Coturnix japonica: one gene and its partners. The protein of the gene in region 3 purifies or fractionates together with the protein of the main gene of each other region. This does not show direct contact. Links are inferred from orthologs where the notes say so. Each region holds a gene or a part of one and is shown on either strand. Other genes may lie near its edges.

Evidence for each region. Proteins that work in one complex are often made in the same cells at the same time.
Region 1: the proteins of RPP30 (region 3) and POP4 purify together in Homo sapiens (affinity purification with mass spectrometry; 4 studies listed by BioGRID and IntAct, counting the BioPlex papers as one, with this or other methods). This does not show direct contact. The link is inferred for Coturnix japonica from reciprocal best matches to the Homo sapiens genes RPP30 and POP4.
Region 2: the proteins of RPP30 (region 3) and RPP25L purify together in Homo sapiens (co-immunoprecipitation; 3 studies listed by BioGRID and IntAct, counting the BioPlex papers as one, with this or other methods). This does not show direct contact. The link is inferred for Coturnix japonica from reciprocal best matches to the Homo sapiens genes RPP30 and RPP25L.

What each region holds. Positions count from the first base shown.
Region 1 is NC_029526.1:7,093,166-7,100,627, forward strand, and holds POP4 (ribonuclease P protein subunit p29), read left to right. Parts: upstream 1-2,892; 5' UTR 2,893-3,010; coding exon 3,011-3,017; intron 3,018-3,103; coding exon 3,104-3,156; intron 3,157-3,237; exon of another isoform or gene 3,238-3,258; coding exon 3,259-3,482; intron 3,483-3,929; coding exon 3,930-4,007; intron 4,008-4,209; coding exon 4,210-4,271; intron 4,272-4,555; coding exon 4,556-4,657; intron 4,658-5,121; coding exon 5,122-5,258; 3' UTR 5,259-5,503; downstream 5,504-7,462. UniProt on the Homo sapiens protein: Component of ribonuclease P, a ribonucleoprotein complex that generates mature tRNA molecules by cleaving their 5'-ends.
Region 2 is NC_029547.1:7,292,672-7,299,919, forward strand, and holds RPP25L (ribonuclease P protein subunit p25-like protein), read right to left. Parts: upstream 4,571-7,248; 5' UTR 4,136-4,570; intron 3,877-4,135; exon of another isoform or gene 3,618-3,876; intron 3,415-3,617; 5' UTR 3,406-3,414; coding exon 2,860-3,405; 3' UTR 2,111-2,859; downstream 1-2,110. Other genes in the region: ENHO (adropin), read right to left, coding at 373-558; DCTN3 (dynactin subunit 3), read right to left, coding at 5,030-5,119, 5,744-5,803, 6,464-6,522. UniProt on the Homo sapiens protein: May be a component of ribonuclease P or MRP.
Region 3 is NC_029521.1:17,045,426-17,052,945, reverse strand, and holds the start of RPP30 (ribonuclease P protein subunit p30), read right to left. Parts: upstream 4,036-7,520; 5' UTR 3,750-4,035; coding exon 3,668-3,749; intron 2,897-3,667; coding exon 2,841-2,896; intron 2,534-2,840; coding exon 2,477-2,533; intron 2,202-2,476; coding exon 2,127-2,201; intron 1,587-2,126; coding exon 1,515-1,586; intron 1-1,514. UniProt on the Homo sapiens protein: Component of ribonuclease P, a ribonucleoprotein complex that generates mature tRNA molecules by cleaving their 5'-ends. Also a component of the MRP ribonuclease complex, which cleaves pre-rRNA sequences.

The sequences.
Region 1 (7,462 bases), on a different chromosome or scaffold from region 3:
CCTTGCCAGCTAGCGATGCCTCGGAGATGGATGCCTCATTACAGAGCAAAGATGAGAAATTTGTCTCTAATGAATCTTTTCAAATTTCCTGGGATTTCAGCCCAGATCCCCACGCTGCAGCCCGGCTGATGGGGCAGGGGCTGCCCTACCCTGGGAACGCTCTCCCAGTGCCACCAGCAGCACAGCGGGCTCCTGTGCCCTACAGAGAGATGCACTGGATGATGTAATGTATCTTTGGCCAAAACTTACCATTGGGAAAGTGCACAATCAACACAACCACACCGTATCACACAGACCTGCAGAGTTCAACAACCATTTCCTAGGAAAAAAAAGGTATGAAATTCCCCCAAAGCCTTCTTCCACAGATAAATTTACTGTGATGTAAAACAGGCTGGTGTACGTGAAAACTGGAGCCATGTATGCTGCAAGAAGCTGCAAACAGCCACATTTTCTCCAAAGACAAAGCAATTTTTGACTCCTAATACTTGATAGAGCTGGGTTCTGCCCCGTGTAGGAGCGGGTCTGGAGCTCTCAGCAGGCAGCCCTGCAGCAGGACGGCTCGCTCTCGGTGCTGGGCTGCCCTCTGGTGAGGAGCAGAGGAGTGCTGAGAAGCAGGCAGGAGTTAAGCTGGCTGAACACTCACTGCTTCAGCACTGCCAGGGGCTGGGAAATGTATTAACAACTTGGTATTTGGGTAAGGGAAATCAGATCGGAGCGTTTAAAGCGGCAATTATTTTCACCAGTATACCTGTCCCAAGGGACCAAATGTGACTGCTAATACAATTTGGCCAAGAGGAACAAACTGCATTGATCTTAAGAACTCCAGTGCTGGCTGAGATGCTCTTTCTGGTGAATTACAGTATCTGTTTCTTGTATCAGCTGCAATCAGGAAAAGCAGTCCGTGATTACAGCCCAGTCACCTCCTATGCACATCACTTCACTTCTGCTCATCTCCAGCTTCAGTTCACAATTACTCTTGAACAACAAACAAACAAAGCAACACCACAATCATCTCTTCTTACATCATACAAACACCTCTGTTTTCTGCAGGTGGATACTCTGCACCTCACTTGTAGCTCTCTGTGCTTCCCATCACTGAAATTCCCCCAGCACATTGCTGTTACCTGCCTTGGCCTGCACTCGTTTCTCCCATCACCCACTGTAACTCAACGCACCGACAGCCGAAGCAACATGGCCCCCTGCTGTACACATGTATGGTGGTTCATTGTTGGGTGTTCACAAATACATAGATACATAGACTAAAAAAGCAATAAATATAGCCATACACAGACTTAATGGGATAAGAAATACCAATGCTAGCACCTGCAAAGGGGAATAAGTAATATATATTAGGGGTTTATATCACCATAAACTTGTATTGTGCTTGCAAGCTGATTTACTTGAAAAAGTAAAAAGCTTCAAAGGCCTGAGACTAAGACACTTCTGACACTAAGTGAGGTGGAGACATCCAGAAACATGCATTAGAATTATCTGCACTTCTGTTTACATATTTCTGCATTGATTTTATTCCAAATTCCCTTTTTACTCATCTTCCCTCATTTCTCTGAGCCTTCTCTTCCTTTCTGATCCATAAAATATTTCCACGTATTCTTTTTCCTCCTGCTCTTTTTCATGTTTATTTGATTGAGTCCCACTCCCAGCTCAGAGCCCTTTCCCTGGAACACACACTAACAAGCTGACCCAGCTCTATCAGACACTGTCTCTGAAGATAGATTGGGAAATGAAGATGTAGAGCTGTTGGAAGAGACTGGCTTCCCCAGGCACCTGTTTAGCCTGGATCATTGGATTTACTACACTGGCATCACCAACACCGATTTGACTATTAATCCCTTAAGTGCCTTAGGAACTGCAGCATAAATCCAGCCAAGGAGCACTCATACGGCCCTGAAGACCCATAGCGTTCATCCTGGCACTCCATTCATGAAAACTGATCTTTTCTTAAATAGCAATGACAACTCAAGGAGTCCCTGCTTTGTAAAAACAAGGCACCTGTTTGCTGTGGCAACATCCTACACTGCCAAGAGACCTTTCATACACGCTGTATGGGAACTGTTGAGTCCCAGCCTGAATCACTGGGCACCTGAGAAAGGACCTGCTCAGCCCTGAGAGCACAAGTGGAGGCAATTCTCTTTGTGAGTGGAAGGGTGGAGCCTGGCTGCACCTCTTACACCTCATTTAAGGGCTGACTGCCACCAGGGAAGGTTCTCTGGTTGGAGATCCCTCCTTGGTGAAGCCTGTGACCTTAATCTTCAGAGATGGGTGAGCAGACCTTTATCCTTCCTTTTTAACACCATTCTGTTGTATTAGTCCCTTTATTATTACAGCTCTTGTATCACCTTTCCATCACATTGATCTTTCTGGTTGTTACACAAACCAACCAGTGCTTGTGCTTATTAATCTGAAGGGACTGGCCTTTTTTTCTCTACAAATACACATTTATCTGCAGTTTTGTCCCTTGTTACACACTGCTTTAGTACCTCTGTGCTCCACAGCAGCACTCAACACAATGCTCACATTTCCTATGCTCTGTCATGGCAGCTCTGTCAGCCTCCTTCCCCAGGGGGCACTTAGTTACACGTGTGGCTGATACCCACCCCGTGATAGGAATACAAACACCTCTATTTTAATGTGAGCTTGGACTTGCTAAGCTGAGGAACTTGTGGTACTGTTTCCAGAGCACCTCTGTGCCAAGAGGTGTGGGAGTGCAGCAGGGCTGGAAGGGGCGAACCCCTCGGAAGAGCAGGAGATGCTGCGTGCACATGGATGTGTATCCTCGTACTAAACTGCCATGCTCAGGCCCAAAGTTCCTACTGCTGCAGGGGGCTGAGCTCGGGTTCCGTAGCCCCCACCCCGGCACACAGAGCGTTGGGAAGCGCTTGATAGAGCGGCACTGTCCTGCAGCTCCACCTGCCGCACTGGAGGGGAAGGGGGGGATGCAGCCAGGCCCGCCCCGGTCGCACACACGTCACGGCTGCGCCGGAGCATCGAGATGGAGGGTGAGTACAGGGATGGGACGGGACGGGAGGAGGATGAGGATGAGGAGGTAGATGAAGGGCCGGCTGAGCCCGCTGTCTGCCCGCAGGTGTGTTGTACAGCGGGCTGCCCCGCGAGGCGGCGAAGGAGCTATGCCTACAGGTACCGCTCCCATGTACCCCCACAGCCTCTGCCCAGCGCTGCCTCAGCTCGGCGGGCAGCCGGGCTCTAATTTAATTAAAGTCTGTTTTTAAACACCTTTAGCCCCAAGGGTCAGAGGAGGCCAGAGCGTTTGTGAGCGCCTTCCTGAAGCGCAGCATGCCCAAGAAGAAGGACGAAGCCATCCAGGATGTGCTAACGCGGAAGGCCGTGGTTCTGGAGCACCACTGCAGGAGGAGGAAGAAGCCAAAGAGAAGGAAAACAAAAACCTTCACAGCCAAACAGAGGAGGGAGCTGGGGCTGTTTGATATCGAGCCTGAGCAGCAGAGGTATGAGAGTGAGTTTGTGTGCTCTGTGGCACTAAACCACAGCACAGCTATAACCTGGGCTGCCTGTTGGATGAGCTCATCCCTGACCAGTTCTTTCCTAAGTGCTGCCACCTGTGACTTCAATTCTAATCCCCAGAATGGCTGCAACCAGTGAATCTCCATTTTGCATTATGTTCCTTGACCCAGGACATGCTGAGTAAGGCCAGTGCTGCTCCTAAAAGGAAGCAAGGGGGAGAAAGAGGAGCAGAAAGCTCTTAAACACATCCCTCCCCTTGGGTTTGTTCGGAGCATATTCAGCTTTACTTGGAGTGGTTTACTAAGTGATCTGTGCAGCTGATAACATGTGTAATTCTTAGTTTTAACTCTGCTTACTAAGACAATCTACAATATAATATATTATAATATATATAATTAAGTTATTGTAAAATATTTGCCTTCTAACTGCAGATATGAACTATTTCTACCACTACATGAACTCTGGAAGCAATACATCAGAGACCTGTGTTATGGACTTAAACCAGATGCGTAAGTTTAGCTAATCTAACCACCACCATTTTTTAAGGCATTTCAAGTAGTAATTTGATTAAACTTAAATGTCAATTATTTAATAAGGATATATGCTATTTCTGTAAGCTTTGACCAGTATTTCAATAGGCACAGTCACACCTTATAAACATGCTTTTCCATGTATTTTTTTCCCCTCTCTGATCCTACCCTTTTCTTCAAGGCAACCACAGATGGTGCAGAGCAAACTGCTGAAAGCTGACCTCCATGGAGCTGTTGTTACAGGTATTGTTTGCTTTATTCTGCAGTTATCTGAGATTTGCTGTACTTTCTTATGTTTCAGGTGCTCATTGAATTCCTTTCAGTATCAACTCTAGGATAATGTAATTGTGTTGATGGATTCTTTCTCCATTTACCAGTGCTGCTTAACTTTTCAACTGCTCTACCAGTTATCACTATAATTACTTCAGACTATTATCTCAGACTTCTAAAATGATGAGGCAATAATGGAACAGCAAACCAGCTGCACCTGAATTTATTCTAACACATTCCTATTCTTGTTCTTTCAGTCACAAAATCAAAGTGTCCATCTTATGTTGGGATAACGGGAATAATCCTACAGGAATTCAAACATGTCTTCAAGATTATTACTAAAGACAACAAACTAAAAGGTATGGCAAATGTTTTTCAGTGCTTGTTATAATGTGAGTTACTGAGAATCGATCATATTATTATACTTCTGAGTAAATGTATGAGCACATACATACATTGTTCTTTACCACTGCTTGTAATTCTTTGCATAGTGGCAGAAGTTCATGTCTTTATCTGACATGTAAAAACCCAATAATGTACCTTAGAAGTAATTTAAAAACATATTTCCAGTGATTTATAACATGATTATGCACATGGTTCATTCATCTGATTCACTGTAGATCGTTCTCTGCAACTCTTACTGCACACTTGTGAACAAGGACTGAATTCTGTCAGTTTTGCCCTTAAATGTACAGGCTGTATTGAGTGTATTTCTCACACTGCAGCATTAAACCTTGACATGTTATGAACCTGAAGCCTGCATGTGAATAGTATTCCCTGGTACACCAGTATCTATGCATAATGCTACTTCTCCATTTTTCAGTTGTTCCCAAAATTAACAACGTATTCAGTGTGGAGACTGATGGATTCATTTCCTACATCTATGGAAGCAAGTTCCAGCTTCGAGCAAGTGAGCGGTCTGCAAAGAAGTTCAAGCTGAAAGGAACTATTGACCTATGATTTCATAGCAAATCAAAAGGAAGTTTAATTAAGATGTCTGCTGTTCTCCTTCAGTTTACAAAACAGGTTTTCTGGCAGACTGAAAGACAGAGTTAACTAGCTGAGATTTTTCTGAAGTGTTTCTTCATACTGAAGAATGACTGGTTTCATCTTTAAAGCAGTCTGTCAAACTGCTGAAGTCTTAGTTGTATCTTTTACTTGTGTGTAATGTTCTGCCTTTTATTAAACTTGTGATTAGTACTGATTACCTGGTTTTTGTTTCTATTTTGACTGTATATTTGTTCAGTGAATGTTTTATCTTATAACTTGCTTACAGAGCCTGCTTCGTTCAGAAGGCAGCAATAACACCTGTCACTGTGTAAGGAGACTGCAGCTGGTAACTGCTTTTATGTGATTGCTCCTGGATCAATCATTGCTGCCTGTTCAGCTTGTATCCATGCTAGACTGAAAAACCTTATAATGAAAGCATTGGGCAAAAATGTCTTTCATGTTTACTGAGTCAGCAACAGAGGTGATTTATGCTGCAAAAGGTATCATGTCCTGGCAGGTCAATGAGAACTCCTATGAGTATCAAGAATGCTTTCTGGATTGTTTTCCGCTAAACCAGGGAATGTTTTAGTATCTGACTTCCAAGGACTGATAAATACCAAGGTCAGTAACTTTCTTATCTTAGTCTGGAACTATTTATGCTTTTTTTTCCCTAGAACTACCTACCCAAATGGAAAAATACATTGTTTGGGGTAATGGTTAAAATGCAAATGCACAAGAAGTGGAGGTGAAACCTCTAACTGAGCACATGCATTTAAACAAGCAAGACATGTCTTAAACCACAGGTGCTTCAATCAGGACAGTGCCTCACAGGTGAGAAATCATGATTCTTTCTGGGCTTGTAGCTACTTGCAATCACTAGACAAGGACTTGGATTCTGTTCACGAGTACTTTAAAGTTAACAGGCACTTAGTCGAGCTCTGAAGTAGTTACATCAAGGTATCTCCCTTTAAGCATAATTCCTCCCAAAGTTCTTTGAAATCCATTAGATTTCTCTGAGAATCCACAAGGAAATATCAACAAATTGGCAGAAAGCTTAAGTGACAGTAGAAACTTTCTCTGCAGGACAAAGGCTTCATTTTCATTTTGCTTATAGCTATCAGTGTAACATCTAATTAAGACATCTGTTAAATGCCTATAATATTAAATTAATAGAGGGAAGCTAATGGAACTTTATTGGCGTAGTCCTGTTAATTAAAGACCTTTAATAGATGTCTTAACTAGGCATCATTAATGGCAATGACACACAAATTGGAATTAGGCACGATCCCATTTCATTGTGCTGCAGAGGACATACTATATTCTGCCATACAGACACACAGATGAGCACAACAGCATTTTCCATAGCTATTGCTATTTACACTTTTCTACATTTTACTTCAGTGGCAGGAAGATGTGCTGCTTAGCAGCCCCTTTCAGTAAATAACAGTAAGGAAATAATTATTTACAGTGAATAGTGCTGGAGAGGTGTTCAGAGGTCTCTGAGGTACTTAGATGCTAGCAGCACAGATGACAAATGAAGCCTAACAAGAGATTGAACAGCCAAAGCATTCAAACTACCTTTACTGCTGTTGCTAAATCACCTGAAGAGGCATTTTTACCTCATCGAGGTGTTCCAAACATCCAAATGTAGGTTTTTTTTAATAAGAAGTTCCAGTTCCTTACTGTTCCTAATGCAGCATCTCCCACCCCACAGGAGGGCTAATCCCTGGCTCCTGCTATTTGTAATGCTCCCTCACCACACAGTAAGATTTCCATAATTAATTTCTCATTAAATCTGCAGTGATCTTACCTTGGGATGCGAGTATAAGGCTTCAGCGACACATCAGCTCTTCTTTTTAGCACCATCATCCCTGCAACCTTCTCTAGATGAAACCCCAGCAGAGAATGAGGTGCCCAGTGCCCACCAGCACTATGTAACCAGCCTTCTGCACAGCACAGCTGAGGCCAGCATGCAACAATTGCTCTCCTAGGCAACTGGTTCTCTACTGTGACAAACACCTGAGTGTTCCCCTTACCCAGCTGCACTGATTGCCTCTTGGCTCTGAAGGTCAGCACAGGGAGCCTTGGTGAGCAATAGTTGACCTAAGTTAACGGATGTTCAACTTCATGTGTTTTCTTAAACAGAAAGAAAAACTGGATTTACAAATCATTTC
Region 2 (7,248 bases), on a different chromosome or scaffold from region 3:
CCATAGCAAACCCAGGGCAGGTGTGTGCCGGGTGCCCGCTGCTCCCCACAGCCCGCAGCCACCCTGGTCGCCGCGGTGCTGCAGGGCTCCCCCGGGTCGGTGTCACACCGCAGCAGCCTCCTGCAGGGGACAGGGCTCGTACTGGCCCTGCTGGGCTCCGTGGCACAGCGAGGTGCTGGCGGCTGCCCCTCCACGTGCCGCTGTCCCCGAGGTGAAGGCAGCGCGCATCCCCTGGGCCGGGCTGTCCCCACTCTCCAGGTGACACCGAGGACGGCGCACGTCCCCAGCCGCCGTGTCTCCATCCACGCACCGGGACCGCGGGGCCGCAGGGCTCCGCTCGGTGTCACGTCCCGTCCGCTGCCATGGCCGCGCTCAGGGCTGCAGAAGGTACTTCTCCTCGTTCCTCGCCTCGTCCGCGTCGGACGCCGGGCTCTTCTTGGGGCACGACGGGGTCCTGCAGGCCTTGCAGAGGATGTGGAAGAGGATGAGGATGAGCAGAGCGATGATGCAGTTAAAAGAGATGGCAACGACCGCTCCGGTGGACAGAGCCGCCCCCATCGCCGCCGCCCCGCGGGACGAAGCGGAGCCCCCGGCTCGGGACGCGGCCTCCGCCCGATGGCATTGGGGGGCACGGAGCGCACGGCGGCGGTGCCGGCGGCGAGCGGCGGGACGGCGTCACCCCGGAACGGCCCGGACGGCGCCGCTGCGGCCTCGGCGGCGCGGGAGCGTCGGGGCGGCTCGTCGGGCGGCGCTGCGGCAGCGCGGGGTCTGCTCGGCCGGGCACCTGGGAGCAGAGCGGAGCGTTACCGGCGGCACGACGGCACGGCACGGCGCGGCACGGCGCGGCACGGCACGGCGCGGCACGGCACGGCACGGCGCGGCACGGCACGGCACGGCACGGCGCGGCACGGCACGGCGCGGCACGGCACGGCACGGCACGGCACGGCACGGCACGGCACGGCACGGCACGGCACGGCACGGCACAGCACAGCACGGCACAGCACAGCACAGCACGGCGCAGCACGGCACAGCACGGCGCGGCGCGGCACGGCACGGCACAGCACGGCACAGCACGCGGCGGGCAGCGCCGGCTCCTTCGCACATCGCAGCCCCGACGGACCCGCGGGAAGGAGACGCCGACCTCCCTCCCCATCCCGCAACCGCAACAAGTCCCGTCCCGGCCCCGCACTGACCCGCTGCCGCCGCGCCCCGGGATCCGCCGCTCGGAGCCGCGTCCGCTGCTCGCTGTCCCGGCGCGGAGCGGCGCCGTGTCCCGCAGCCCGGCTCGCTCCTCCCCCCGCTCCGAGGGGCGGCCCGGGCCCCGCACACACCCCGCCCACAACCGCCGGCTGCGGCCCCGCCCCGCCGCGCCGCGCACAGGCCGCGTGGTGCGTGCGCTGCACCGGGCGGGGATGGAGCAGCGGCTGCGATGTCTGAGCGACACGGCACAAAACACAACAACCGTCCCGGCACCTACACGTGCTTCCAAGGCACCTCTGCGCCACCGGCCGCAGACGTGGGGCTGCGCTGTCCGCCCACGAGTGACCAGCGCGGCCCCGTGCAGTGCAAAGCGTCAGGGACGGTCCGAGCGGCTGCACCGAGGAACGAGCCCGGCACAGCTCCGTCCTGCACCGGGCAGCTCGGCACGGCAGCGGGTACGATGCAAATCCGCCGGGCAGCTGGGGACCCCTCGTGGCTGCCAGCAGCACACACAGCTGCGGGCTCTGCTGGCTGCTCCTGGTGGGCTTCGCTTGGGGAGATGCTCCATAGCCCATAGAGTCCACGCTGGCACAGCAGCGCTGTGTATGGCCATGGCCCTGCGGCTCCTTCCTGCCCAGCATCACCTCCCACAGCTGATCCAGGAGCAGAGCTGTGGCACACGACGTGATGCTCCATCCCCTGCTCCATCCAGTGGCATTCACACCAAGTATTCTCAAATCTGCTCTTCCAGACAGAAAAAATAAACCCTTGGCTTTCCCATTGCTAGAAGAGGTGAATGGCAAAGGAAAACCTTCATCAGGGCCCACCTACAGGAGAAAAACGCCTGCAGCTGCAGCCCGTCAGTAATGCTGAGGGTGACCCCAGTGCAACGTGGAACACATCACACATCTTTTGTCACTTACAAACTTTATTTTAAACCCATTCCTATGCATTACAAAGGAGTAGAAAGGGGAAACAAGCATCCTTTGGAGCTCACCATTACCACCCCTGTGCATTTGCCCCTGCCTACGTGGTTTCAGGATGGTGATGACGTTAGTTGACTCCTGCCAGAGGTGTAACCATCAGCACCAGAGGGGAAGTGAGAGGACAGAAAGGGATGATTGGCACACAGTGAGCTGCACCCCTGCAGTCCCACATCTAAACCATCAGAACACTGGAAGGCTTGAGCAGAAAATGGCTTCTCAGGCACAGGTAAAGTGTCCAACCCAGCCCTGAGCTGTGCCATCCACACAGAGGAGCTGCAATGATGGGCTGGCAGCCCAACCTGGGACACATCTCCCCTCTAGGAGCTGCCTCATCTCCTGCCCATGCAAAGCACTGCCATACCTGGAATGCCTCTTTGGGCTCACTAACTGGATGCCAGCAATCCTTGCCCAAAAAGGTAAATCCCATATTTCCATCTCATCCCTGAGCCACAGGCTATGGAGTGAAGCCTGGCACCATCTGACAAGGAAACTTGCCAAAACACAATTTAGACAGCTACAATTTTGTCAATTTTGGAACAGTGAGTTCTCCTGTCTACCCCCCTAACAGATCTGGAAGCCTGTGTTCAGCAGCAGCTTTCCAGCCAGAGCAGCTGGCTGGTTTTTGTAACATCCCCAAGCTACACCCACAAGTGTCTCTGTCTCAGGACTTCACTCAGGACTCCCCGAGCCCTCCACTGGCACGAGGGTGCTTTCCCATGCTGCCAGTTCCCCTTCCTCCACCCTGCTTCCTCTTCATTTGGGCCTGGGACTCTGCTTTAAGTGTCTCAATCCAGAAGGCGTCAAAAGAGCCCGGAGCCTGATATCCAGGCTCCTGGGGATCAAGGGCGTCTTTGCTCAGCAGGACACATATGGCAGGAATGTTTCTCTTCACTGTCAAGGAATCCAGACCTGCCTCAGGCACGATGGGTTCCCAGATCTCCTCGATCTGTTTGAAAAGCACTTTGGTGATCTGGTGGAGTTCTTTGAGCCTTCTTTTCATGATCTCCACACACGTGATGGTTTTGCTGACAGCCTTGCCTGAGCCAGTGAAAAGGATCTGCCTCACTGAGTCCAGTTCCATCTTGCCAATGGCGTAGCCCATCAGATTTCTTATTTTACTTCCATCTTTCACTTTCATTTCAATGATATCAGGAGGCAGGTCAGTGAAAGGAAGAGGACAAGGCTTCTCCACGATTTTGGTCTTCTTATAGTTTTCCATTCTGCTGCACTGAAAAGGAAAAGCAACCCATGAATACCTGCAATTAGTGATAATACAAACCAGCCACTGTGGGCTTTCCCACTCAGCGAGAAGCGCAGCTGCAACTGTGGCTTCCAGCAACCTGTGCCAGCACAGCAGGGCTCAAAACTGAGGCTGCCATTGGCATCATTTCAGCCTCTGGCCACCAGAAAAGTCTCAGCAGCTCCACACACCTGTACCTGAGAAACTTCTAAAGGCTGCACAAAGGGCTTCTCGCTCCAATTACGTGCAGTCTTTGCTCCAAAGGGCACTGTCTGATTCTGTCAGCCGGACAGGGCAGATACAAACTATCCACCAGAACACCCCGATGTGCAGCAGTGCAAAGCACAGCAGTCATTTCCAGCAGCGGCAGCTCAGACACCGGCGGGCAACATGAATGCTGCCACAGGGGTCGAAACTGGAAGGAGCAGCGCTGGTTCAGCTGGCGGAATCCTTAGAAAAAGCAAAGAATAAATGAAAGAACTCAGGTAAACGGGCTCACGCTCAACCCCCACCCCCAGGCCCACAGAGTCACACGGCTCCCCCCACAGGCACGGTGAAGGCCTCGGGCGGAGAGCTCCGCCAAGGGGAGGCGGCCCAGCCCCACCATCCGGGTCCGGGGTGACGGGAACCGCTGTCCGGGCGGCTCTGCGGGTGCGGGAGGCGGACGGGCTGCGGGGCGGGATGGGGGACACACGGAAAGCACGCTCACCTGCCGGCACGGCGACACTCGACGCAAAATGGCGGCCGACGCCAGGCGTGCGCATGCGCGGGGAGGGAGGCGGAGTGGCGGAGTGATGGCGCCGGGCCTGGGCGGGCTGTGAGGGCGGGGTGGGCCCGCATCTCCCAGCGCACAGCTGGGCTCTGGGCTTCACTAAAGACATGTTCACAACTCAGTAATTCTGTTCTGTACCTGGATAAATTGCACAGCCCAGGCACTACAGGCAGGGGGCAGCAAATAACTCTTTCTGAATAAGAAAGGACCGGCTGCGGCTCTGACTCGCTGCTGCCATTCTGATCAGCAAAGGCACGACGTAGGGCAGGGTCACTTGCTTCCCCCAGTCTCCAAGTTCCCATTCCCACAGGGCACCAGGAACCGCCCCAAGAAGGGACACACAGATCACTGCTTCTACTTCATGCCAGGAGTAACGTTTCCTTATGACACATCAGCCATGGGCTGTTGGCAGCACGCGGATCTGCCCTCCTGAGCTTAACCAGGCATTCTGTGCCACTGATGCATTCACGGGAGGAAAAGACAAGCCAGACCAGTGCATTAGGGCTTTACTGTGATCCACGATAAGAGCAACAAGGGACTTTAAAAGTACGTTACTAGCTTGAAAACATTAAAATAAAAGATAACATATTAATAACAGTGGCATATTAAGAGAAAACTATATGCAAACAGTGGCATATTGATGGTGCTGCTTTGATTAAGGGCCACAAAGCCAGGGTGCCCCCAGGAGTCTGTGACACCATTTGCAGCATACTCACACTAAGTATAAAGATACTGAGGCAAGAGGATGCAAGCAGCTGCTGTGGTCTCTTCTGAATAATGCAAGGCCAACAGGATCCTAGGACTTTGGTCTTCGCCCTCCCTGCTCTGCCATCACTCTGCTGCAGGTTTCACTTCCCTGGCTGCTTCCAGCTGTGTTAGTATTTCATTCCACTGGACAAACTGCTTGGAGAGAAGCAGAGTCTGGTTGTTCCTCTTAAGGAAAGAGAAGCAAAAACTTCTAGGAGGAAATAAAGGTTAGAGAATAGCTGGAGCACCCATCAGCCTGACAGTGCTGATCCAAAACCAATTCCTTGGAGGAGAAAAGGGTGAATAAAACTGTGTCTACACAGCCTACACAGACTTATACCAACTACACACCACTTCTAAGCACTGCATAGTGCTGCAAATTAAAGGTCTTGCTTCAGAAAAGAACATAACTCCCCCACCCACTATAGTTCAGGATGTGTTTCAGCACTGGTATGAGATGAACTGCAAGGCTCTGGCAGGTCACAGGCACATTCAACTGACATGCCAGCTCCTTTGTGCTAAGCCACACTGTAAGCAGATCCATCACAAAAGCTCTGACTCACAGACGACACCCTGCCCTTCCTGTCTCGGATGGATAGTTCTGTCCCTCGGCACTGTAACAGGACTTCACTCCTGAGGTAAGTATAATAACAGGAACACAAACATCACTACACCAGAAAAGGTACCGGCCATTAAACCTAAGGCTGGGGATTGCCTGCTTCCAGCTACCTCTGACAGGGTGAGGTGGCCCAAGAGACAGGTGGGCAGTTCAATCCAAGGCACCAGCTAAAAGGATACTGTCTTGTTGTAGTTTTCCAAGAGCATCTTGACTTCATCAGTAAACTGCTCACACTGCTCCTGCAAAAAACAGTGCCTTGGTGAATAAGCAATAAATAACTTAAAGGACATCTGTAATTCCAGGCAAGTCAGGAATTGTCCAAGGCCAGTACCAAGATTAAAACTCAGGCCCTGGCCATGACCACTCACTGTGCCTGAACGAGTTTCAATAGTTGAAGGAAAGGTTATGAAGAAACACTCATGCTCATACGGTGCAAGAGCATCCATGCTAGACCGATGTGTGGTTTTTCTCAGCATCCATGCTTTGCTTGACTCAGAATGAAAACTCACAGCAAAACACAAAAAGGGGGCATGAAGTGCAACCCAGGCTACACACCCCATTCCCTCAGATGGGGAAGGAAAGAGACAAGGTGGCAGCACTGATAGCCATATAGATAGACGTGCAACATTTCAGTGACCTGGTGAAAAGCAGAACAGCAGCTGGTTAAACACACTTCTGCTTATTGAGACCTCTGTTTTAAGCAGGCTTATGGTAGGTAAAAAGCTTTTCCAACTCATAATCAATTGTTAGTAACCCTTCTTAAACTTTTTCCTTTTTTTTCCTTTTTTTTTTTTCTTGCTGCAGTTTTAAAGATGTGGTATAAATATGTCATCAGTACATCCACTATCAAATGGTTCCTTTTTCTGGCTAGTCAAGACTGTCACAAACATTCACATTACCTGTTGTTGTATCTGGATTTGAGAGAGTCGCTGTATTTTGGCTGCATGTTCAGGAGCCGCTGAAAGCACAGAAACCCATTTTTTTTGTTTTACATCACATAGGTTTAATTATAACAAAAAACAAACAAACAAACAAAAACCCAACAAAATAGAACATTACTTTTCAAGGGCAAGTCACAGCAAAGTTCTGCTCAGTGAATTGCTGATTGTGCTCCACACCACAAACGTGTTTTTAACACAACTGGAAAAAAAAAAACCTACTAGCAGATAAAGCCACATAGCTACACTGCACATCAAATAACAAGTTTACTTGCTAACTACTCAAATTAGGGCGAGTTAACAGATGTTAACAATTAGATGAACACTGCAGTTAACATTAAGAGAAGCATCTCTGCCTACACAAGGAACACTGATGTTCTGGATATAAGACAGCTCATAAGCAGAACCCTGAGAGTTACCATGGCCTGGGCATTGTACACAGTGCTTAGTCACAGTTTCACACCTTTTGCCAAGCCACTGCCTCTAACTTCTTTATTAAACTATACAGTCACCTCCCTGACCCGTTGGTGCAGGGGCCACATTCCCACCCCAGGTGTGTTTGGTAATAGCTAAGATGTTCAGCAGTGTTCTATTAGACAGCAGAGACTAGACATGGAACGTAAGAGCAATGTAAGGGAGGAGCAGATATACCACCGTGTACCTATTTTACTCACAATAAGTTGTGTGCTTAGCTGTTCTCAAGTCTGAGGCTCATGAAAAAATAAACAATACAACAGCTTGGAGGA
Region 3 (7,520 bases):
TTAAAAATGTCTGTGCCACTGCCTTATTCCAATCAACTGGGACTTCATCTGACTGCCACGACTTTTCAAATATCTTAGAGTGGAGTGGCTTGGCGACTACACCAGCCGATTGCCTCAGGACTCTGGCATGCATCTGGAATAAATCACAATAATTTTATGCTGTTAACAGAGCACCCCCCTCCCCCCCCAAAAAAAAAAAAAATTATGGAGAGAAGTAGAAAGCCTTTTAGAAGACTTTTGACTCTTGCACACCCTCAGGAGTTCAGAGTCTGGCAAGGGAAGAAAAAAAAAAATCAGTTGGAAATGAGCTTCATTAAGTTGTCACTGTTACAATAAATACTTCAGTTCTTCTCCTTTCAAGTTCACCTCCTTTTACAGCCTCTTCACAAGTTTTCAAAAAGGACAGGAAATAATTTAAAAAAAAAATAAATCAGAAAAATATAGTTTTAATGTTCCAAAGATAGGTATTGAGCAGCACCAGAAAGTAGCTTTAACCTAACTGAAAAACAATGTCAGCTTCTCGACAACCTCTCTTTGAAAGTAAATTCCGGCATTCCTCCAAAGAGACTCACATTTGCAGTTGGTGTCCCAGTGTGTCATGGTTTTGTAATTTTTGCTATCGGTATTCCACATCATAACATCATGTGGAACACAGAGAAGAATTACATGTCCCAGAGTACCTCACGGTCAGAGAGGAAAACACATCACAGAAGTGACACTGGCTCTCTCTCACACTGCCTGGCAGTAAGTGTGGGTGTGCTTCCAAGTTGTGGCACCTTCAATTTTAAAGTAGGCTTCTTGGTCTTCAGAAACCTCTCTCTCTTATTTCACTTGATTTATTAGCCCCAATTTCAATTAGATCATACTATATTGTGTTATGTTGCATTCCGATATCATAATTAGTAAAATAAGTTCTCCTCCTTAGATTGTTGCTGCTGCTCTGTTTATCTCCTTGAGCCCAACTCCCATCTCCCTACCCCTTTCCCTTTTTTCTTTCCATTCTTGGGGCTGGAGGGAGAGCCCACAGGCCTACTGCCCCCCATCACAGACATAGATTGATCTAGATAACTCCGTGACACAGTGCATTCTTCAAATTGCACATCAGCTTGCTGTCTGCCAAGGGCAATACAGACAGATCACCTCTACCAACTCTTCCAATTCACTCTTAATGATACGACTCAGGAGCTTCCTGAGATGGTCAGATGTGCCACTTTTTCTCCCCCCATTTTGCAATGAAAGCATTTTGACAAGAAGTTGAGCTGAGCATTTGAAAGCAAGTCAGTCAGACCACTTGCAGACGTTTAGGACCAACTGATCACATCAAGGCCCTTTACCCTTCTAGGATTTCTCCCAATCTTTTAGTCTGCCTGCTGCTGACCAGAGAACCTACATTGTTTAATTAGCCCCATGACATGGCTATATAGAATGGAAAACAAAACAAAGCATGCACTCAAAGCACTCCAAGACACTGATGGTTAGTGCCAGCTCTATGACAACTCACAGATAGTACTTACATGGAACAATTTCTCCGTCTTTGGAAATACAGCTATGATGTCATACAATCTTATATTTGCAGATGTAGATCTCTACAAAAGGAGGAAATAATTACTACCTTGACTTCTGGCAGGTGACAAGCATACACACAATGATTATAACCAAAATAATAATGAGAAAATTTCCTCACCATTTTCAAGCACCAAAACAAAGACGATAATCTAATTAAATAGTAGGTCTCTACTGTGAGCAATTCTCTGAGGTCATTTTGAGGCTTGTCCCATCCACTCACATACCTTTTGTCTCAAGCACACAGCTCCACAAACACACACTGGTCTCCCTCCTGGTATTCTAGTGTACACATGGAAGTCCAGAATTCAAATAAAAGAATAAAGGAACAGAACTGCTACCCCATACTAATAAGCGATCAGCACAATCACGTTCTGTTTCACAGACACTTGCGTGAGGGGTCATGATGCTTCAGATTCTAAAGATCTGGTCTGAGAAATCAGTACTGAGTATCCTATGAAATCCATTAAATCCAATACACAACTCCCAAAGTGTCATTCTTTCGTTGAGAAAATTAAATTAAAACAAACAAACAAACAAGCAGATACACTGAATGTACTTACCAAGAGATTACAGTGGGAAGGATCAGAAACAACAAGTGTCAGCCGGGTTAAGACTTTAAGTCTTTTAGATGTCCCCTATGATGGAAAAATAATATAAGATTTTAAAAGCTGACAAACTTTGTGGCAACCTTCACCCTGCCTACTATAAAAAGAAAGTTGTGCCTTGCACCAATTCTTGCCTATAATAATTTTCTGGAAGTCTGTAGTTATGCTTCCCTAATATAAAACATATATATTGTAACTGCCCTTCAGAAAGAAGGGCTCACTGTGTTTCTCTGAGGAGTGGATAAACTGAAAGGAAAAATTGCAGCTCAGTGTAACAACACATAGATGGAACGTAATAAACACACCTGCACAATAGGCAAAGATGGAAACAGCTCTGATGGAGACACCGGCTTGGCTATTTCCTTAAAAGAAAACAAAACAAAGTTATCCAAAATACAACAGGGATGTTTAGAATGTACACAGAAGTTGTGTTCCAACTCCAAAAATAAGCTTAACATACTAACAAAATATTTCCTAAGGACAATTCACAGACCATAGTAAAAATTAACTCCAGGGCAGTAATACAGGCTTATAAAATCAGAGTTCTGTTATAAATATAAATACAAATGCCTTCATTTAGGTGAGTGCGTAAAAACAAAGGATAGAGGAGTGGCACAGAGATTTACGAGAGCAAACACATCACCAACAAAGAAGCTGAACTGAAATTACCTGTTTCTTTTCTTTAAAATCGATGACGTGATTAAGAGCAACTGCAGAATATCCCACTAAAAAAGAAAACACATTGTGAGCCTGCTTTGATCAGCAAGTAATGGAAACAGACACAAGGAGAAAACTGTCACATGCTCATTATTTAAATATCTCAAAATCAATAACGATGTGCACATTTACCTTTCACAGTGAATTTTGCTCAATGTTAACTCAAAGATGTGTCTTAAGAGTACAATTTTTTCTTTTAGCACAAGCCAGCCTTTACAACACATCCTCACTGACTGACAGTAACAAGGACAAGGGACTGTGCACGGCCAGTGCTGGGGTACGCACAGAGATGCACGGTTACCTAATGGGTACAGCAGGGCAGGCTGAGGTGTGGCTGTGAGCCTGGGGTAGTGGGGTAAGCCACAGGCTGCCAGGTCCCGGCTCTGCATCGACACGAAGGCTGCGCCTTGCAGCAGCGGACTGGAAGATGCATTATGAGGGGAGATGTGACCACGATTGAAGGGTGATACAAACAGAAAGACTGCCGTGGTGGACAGGACTAGAGAAAGCCATAAAGCCTGTGCTGAAGATCAGTAACCCTGGAACAAGTTCTCTGCAGAGGTTGGAGAGTAACCGGAGATAATAACAGCGCTGTTCAGGCACAGCACAGACCCCGTGCCCTCGCTGGGCAGGGCAGGACCGGCGCATGGAGCTTCCGCCCCGTCCAGCCCCGCTTCTCCATCCTTCACGCCGCTGCTGCAGCCCTCAGCCAGCGCCGCCTTCCAGCACAGCCACCCCATCCTCAACAACACATCCACCCGCTCCCAGCCCCGACTCACGGTTCGCCGCAGCCTCCAGCACGCTCTGCACGGCCTTCCTATCCGCGCCCTGCGGGACGTTCAGATCGGCGAAGCCGGCCATGCTGCGCAGCACGGGGCGGAACGAAGGCTGTGAGCGCAGCCGGCACCGCCCCCGGCGGCCCGGAGCAACCTGGGGCTGGTAGTCCTGCTACGAGGAGCGGGATGGGCTCTGGACCAGCAGGCGGAGCTCTGGGTGATGGAGCGTGCGAGCTTTTATGCGCTCCTGAACGTGTCCGTGGGGGGCTGTGCTGCGAGCGGAGCAGTCGGGAGCTCGGGGTGTGTGCGCTGCCCAGCAGGGGGAGATGCGCTTCTGCTCCTCTTAGCGGCCGGATCGCCTCCCACCGAGCGCAGCTACTGTATGGCCCGAGGGGGGGTGGAACCGTTCCTAGTTAAGGCCATCGTTTTCCTGCGTTAACTAAAAAATGTGAAATAAAATCCTAGGTTGATTAGTCCCAGCTTCTCTAGAGATATTCCCTAAAATGCAAAAGAGATGAACAATTCCAGGAGACCACAAATCAAACATGCTTTGACTCTGTAGCACTGTTGAAAAACCCACCCATTTTATTGCTGCTAATCAGCACATATGTGAAATACAGGTGGTAATGACCACTTTTGTTGCTGTTTGGGACAGTTACAGCAGCTGCTAAAACAAGCAAGGCTGTGATTTCTTCACATCATCAAGGTGGTATTGGGAGGCCTCACAAGCCCTCTGCTTCCACTTCCTTGAGCCTGGAGGTTCAGTGGGTTATTTGGAATGCTAAACCCTTAACCAGGCAGAATTGCTCCAGCAATGCCCACAGCTCCCAGGCACGTCCCTGCCCACAGCACTGCTCCTTGGCACACTGAGGCCGAAGAGTTTATAAGCTCCCTTTAAACACAGAAAGGCTGCAACGAGATCTCCCTGGTGCCTTCCCCAGATTGAACAAACCTATCTCCAGGGAAGTACTCCAGCTCTCTGAGCACCTTCGTGGCCATCCTTGTGACCCATCACAACAGCTCCATATCACTCCTGTGCTGGGAGCCCCAGGCTTGGACACTGTGCTCCAGGTGGGGGCTCACAAGGACAGTACAGAGTGAAACAGTCACCTCCCTCTTCATGCTGCCACCCCTCTGTTGATGCAGCCCAGAATACAGTTGCTCTATGGGCTGCAAGTGCACACTGCTGGCTCATATCCAACTTTTTGTCCATCAAGTCTCCAAGTCTTCCTCAGCAGGGCTGCTCTCAGTGAGTTTTTCTCCCAGTCTGAATGTCTGGGGTTGCCCCAGCTCAAATACAACACCTTGAATTTGGCTGTGCTGAACCTCACTAGGTTTTTGTGGGTCCATTTTTCAAGCCTATCCAGGTCTCCCTGGAAGATGTTCCTTCCTCCTACGTTTCCTATGTTTCAGCAAATTCTGCTTTGGCCTATCTGTGCCCTTAACATGTTTCCTATTGGAATAGCCAGTGCTGCTTCTCTGCCAAATATCTGAACACACAGCCCAAATCAAATGGTCTTCTTAAGGCTTTTCTGTGAAGTGTGTGGACATGGGAGAACTCAAAGCATTATTTCAAGTGTTTTTTTTGTTTTCTTTGTTTGTTTGGTTTTTTTGACAGTGTATGATGGAACTTGATTTAATTTGTCTGAATAAATGTGAGAAGAAATCCATAAATATGTATCAATTATTTCTGAACATCTCTTTTGGACTAATGTTCAGAGACATTAAACAAGATTAAGCAGCTTTTTTTTTTTTTTAGGCAACAGACAAGCAAAACAAACCTTTTCTCGAGGCACTTAAAATGGAGAGTACTTAAACAGATCATCCTTCAGAACCCTATTTCTGTGATGGCCCTCCCAGCATCACATATCATCAATTACTTACGCAGACCAGTGTGCAACCTTATTTCCCCCATCAACCACTTGGATGTTGACATTTTTGTTTAGGCCAGACCCAGTGATCTACTTAAAACATAGCTGTGGTTCTCACTGTCAGTCACAGACTTTGAGTGTGCTTTGTTTCTCCCGTGTCCTGAAGTCCTCCTAGTGCGGCCAATTTTTCTACCCTCGAGGAACATTTTTCATGCCACATTTAAATTTTAGGGAAGACCTTTTCAGGTCTTATGAAGTGATATTCCTCTAATGTACCTCCAGTGGGCAACTCAGGGTAGCAGCTGTCAGATATATATGTGTATATGTCTCTTTGGCTTCAGTTCTGCCTTTAGCATTTTAGGGAGCTAAAGATATTTGGCACCACCTATCTCAGCAACTCAGTAGCTTGAATCTCAATGGTCACTTTAATCATAACCTTCACAGTTTCCTTCATAAAGCTGTAGGCTGAAACAGGCTGAGAACTGTTTTTCAGAGTGATCAAGAATTTCTAGAATAAATTTCATTGTAATTGTTTTTTTCTCTTTTCAGCTGACAGCTTGCTGCTCATATTTGCTGGTTCAAAAAAAGGGAAGACATCACTTCCCATTTATTTAGCTTGCACAGGTGCGACTATTTATTTTGATGATGATAAGAAACGCCAAAGATGTGAATGGTAACCTCTCTATTTCACTGCCACAGAGTGGGGATGATTTATTTTCACAAAGGCAAGAAAAGACAGAAAAGAAACTGCAGCTGCAACATCTTTGCTAGAAGTTGGACAAGAGTGTTATTTGCTAAACTACATGCTGGGAATAAAAATCAAGGTTGCAATAATATTTGTCCATGGAATTTTACCCAGCCTCTGATAAAATATTCTAAATATCTTGACAACGTATTTCCCCAAGGTAGAAGAAATGTGTACCTATACTTTATTTATTATTCCCAACAGCAGGTCTTCACCAGACTTATATTGGTTTCCAGGAAAAGAAGATGAAAAGGAAAGAAAAAAAATACACAACAGGCAAATGAAAATGACAGTTTATCAAGACAGACGGCTCAGGAGAGGAAGGACAACAAGGGAGATGATAAAAAAGGAGGGAAAATTGCAAGAAAAAAACCACCCTTTATTACATTTCACATGGGTATGAAATGCATCCAGAATTAAATTGTTTAAGAAGGAAAATGTAGCAGCACCTCTAAGATTTTATGTTAAGATGAGCACAGACCTTGTTTTTCAGATACATCTGTGTGGGGAGTTACCGAGCAGTGCTGTCAGTGCTTCTCCTCTGCTGGTACAGTTCTGCATGCTGCAGTTCTGGACCCACTTAAGGCAGTGGGCTGTGAGATGGTAAGACCTGCTGCTCCGATGGGCTCTGTAAGCATCACACCCTCAGCAGGAGGGTGAAGCATCCAGAAAGTAGTGTGAGTTCTTTTGACACAGGCACTTTCATAAGAACAGGCTGGCCTCACCAAATCAGCATGTGCAAGTGACATTTTATTTCCTTTATTTCCTCCAAACATGTCTCTCTTGCCTTATCTTACCAACACGGAAGCAAATAATCGATACCAGTACCTCCAGTACCTACTACTGTAAGTTTTGTTTTGTGCTCTGTATAAGTCTTAAATTCTGAAGGTGTTGTGTGGAAAATCTATTTCCCTCCTCTGCTGGAGAAAAGAATATATATTTTTGGAGGGAAAAGGAATAATAAAAATAAAATAATGAAAGCTTAACAAAATGAAAGAAAAGCTTCGAAGAAAAATCAAGAAAAATGTCAATAAGTGCATGAAAAATGGTGGATGAGAGCCTAAAATACTCAAAGGATAGGCCAGTAATAAGCTAAGCTGTGACAAATAGAGTTGACGCTATTTATTGAAGCCTAATGTTACATGAAGAGATAATATCCTGAAAGGGGAGAGAGGTGTCACAAATGTCAGCTTGTTTGTGACAGCCAATCAGCCAACCATATATTTGATATCTGTGCGCT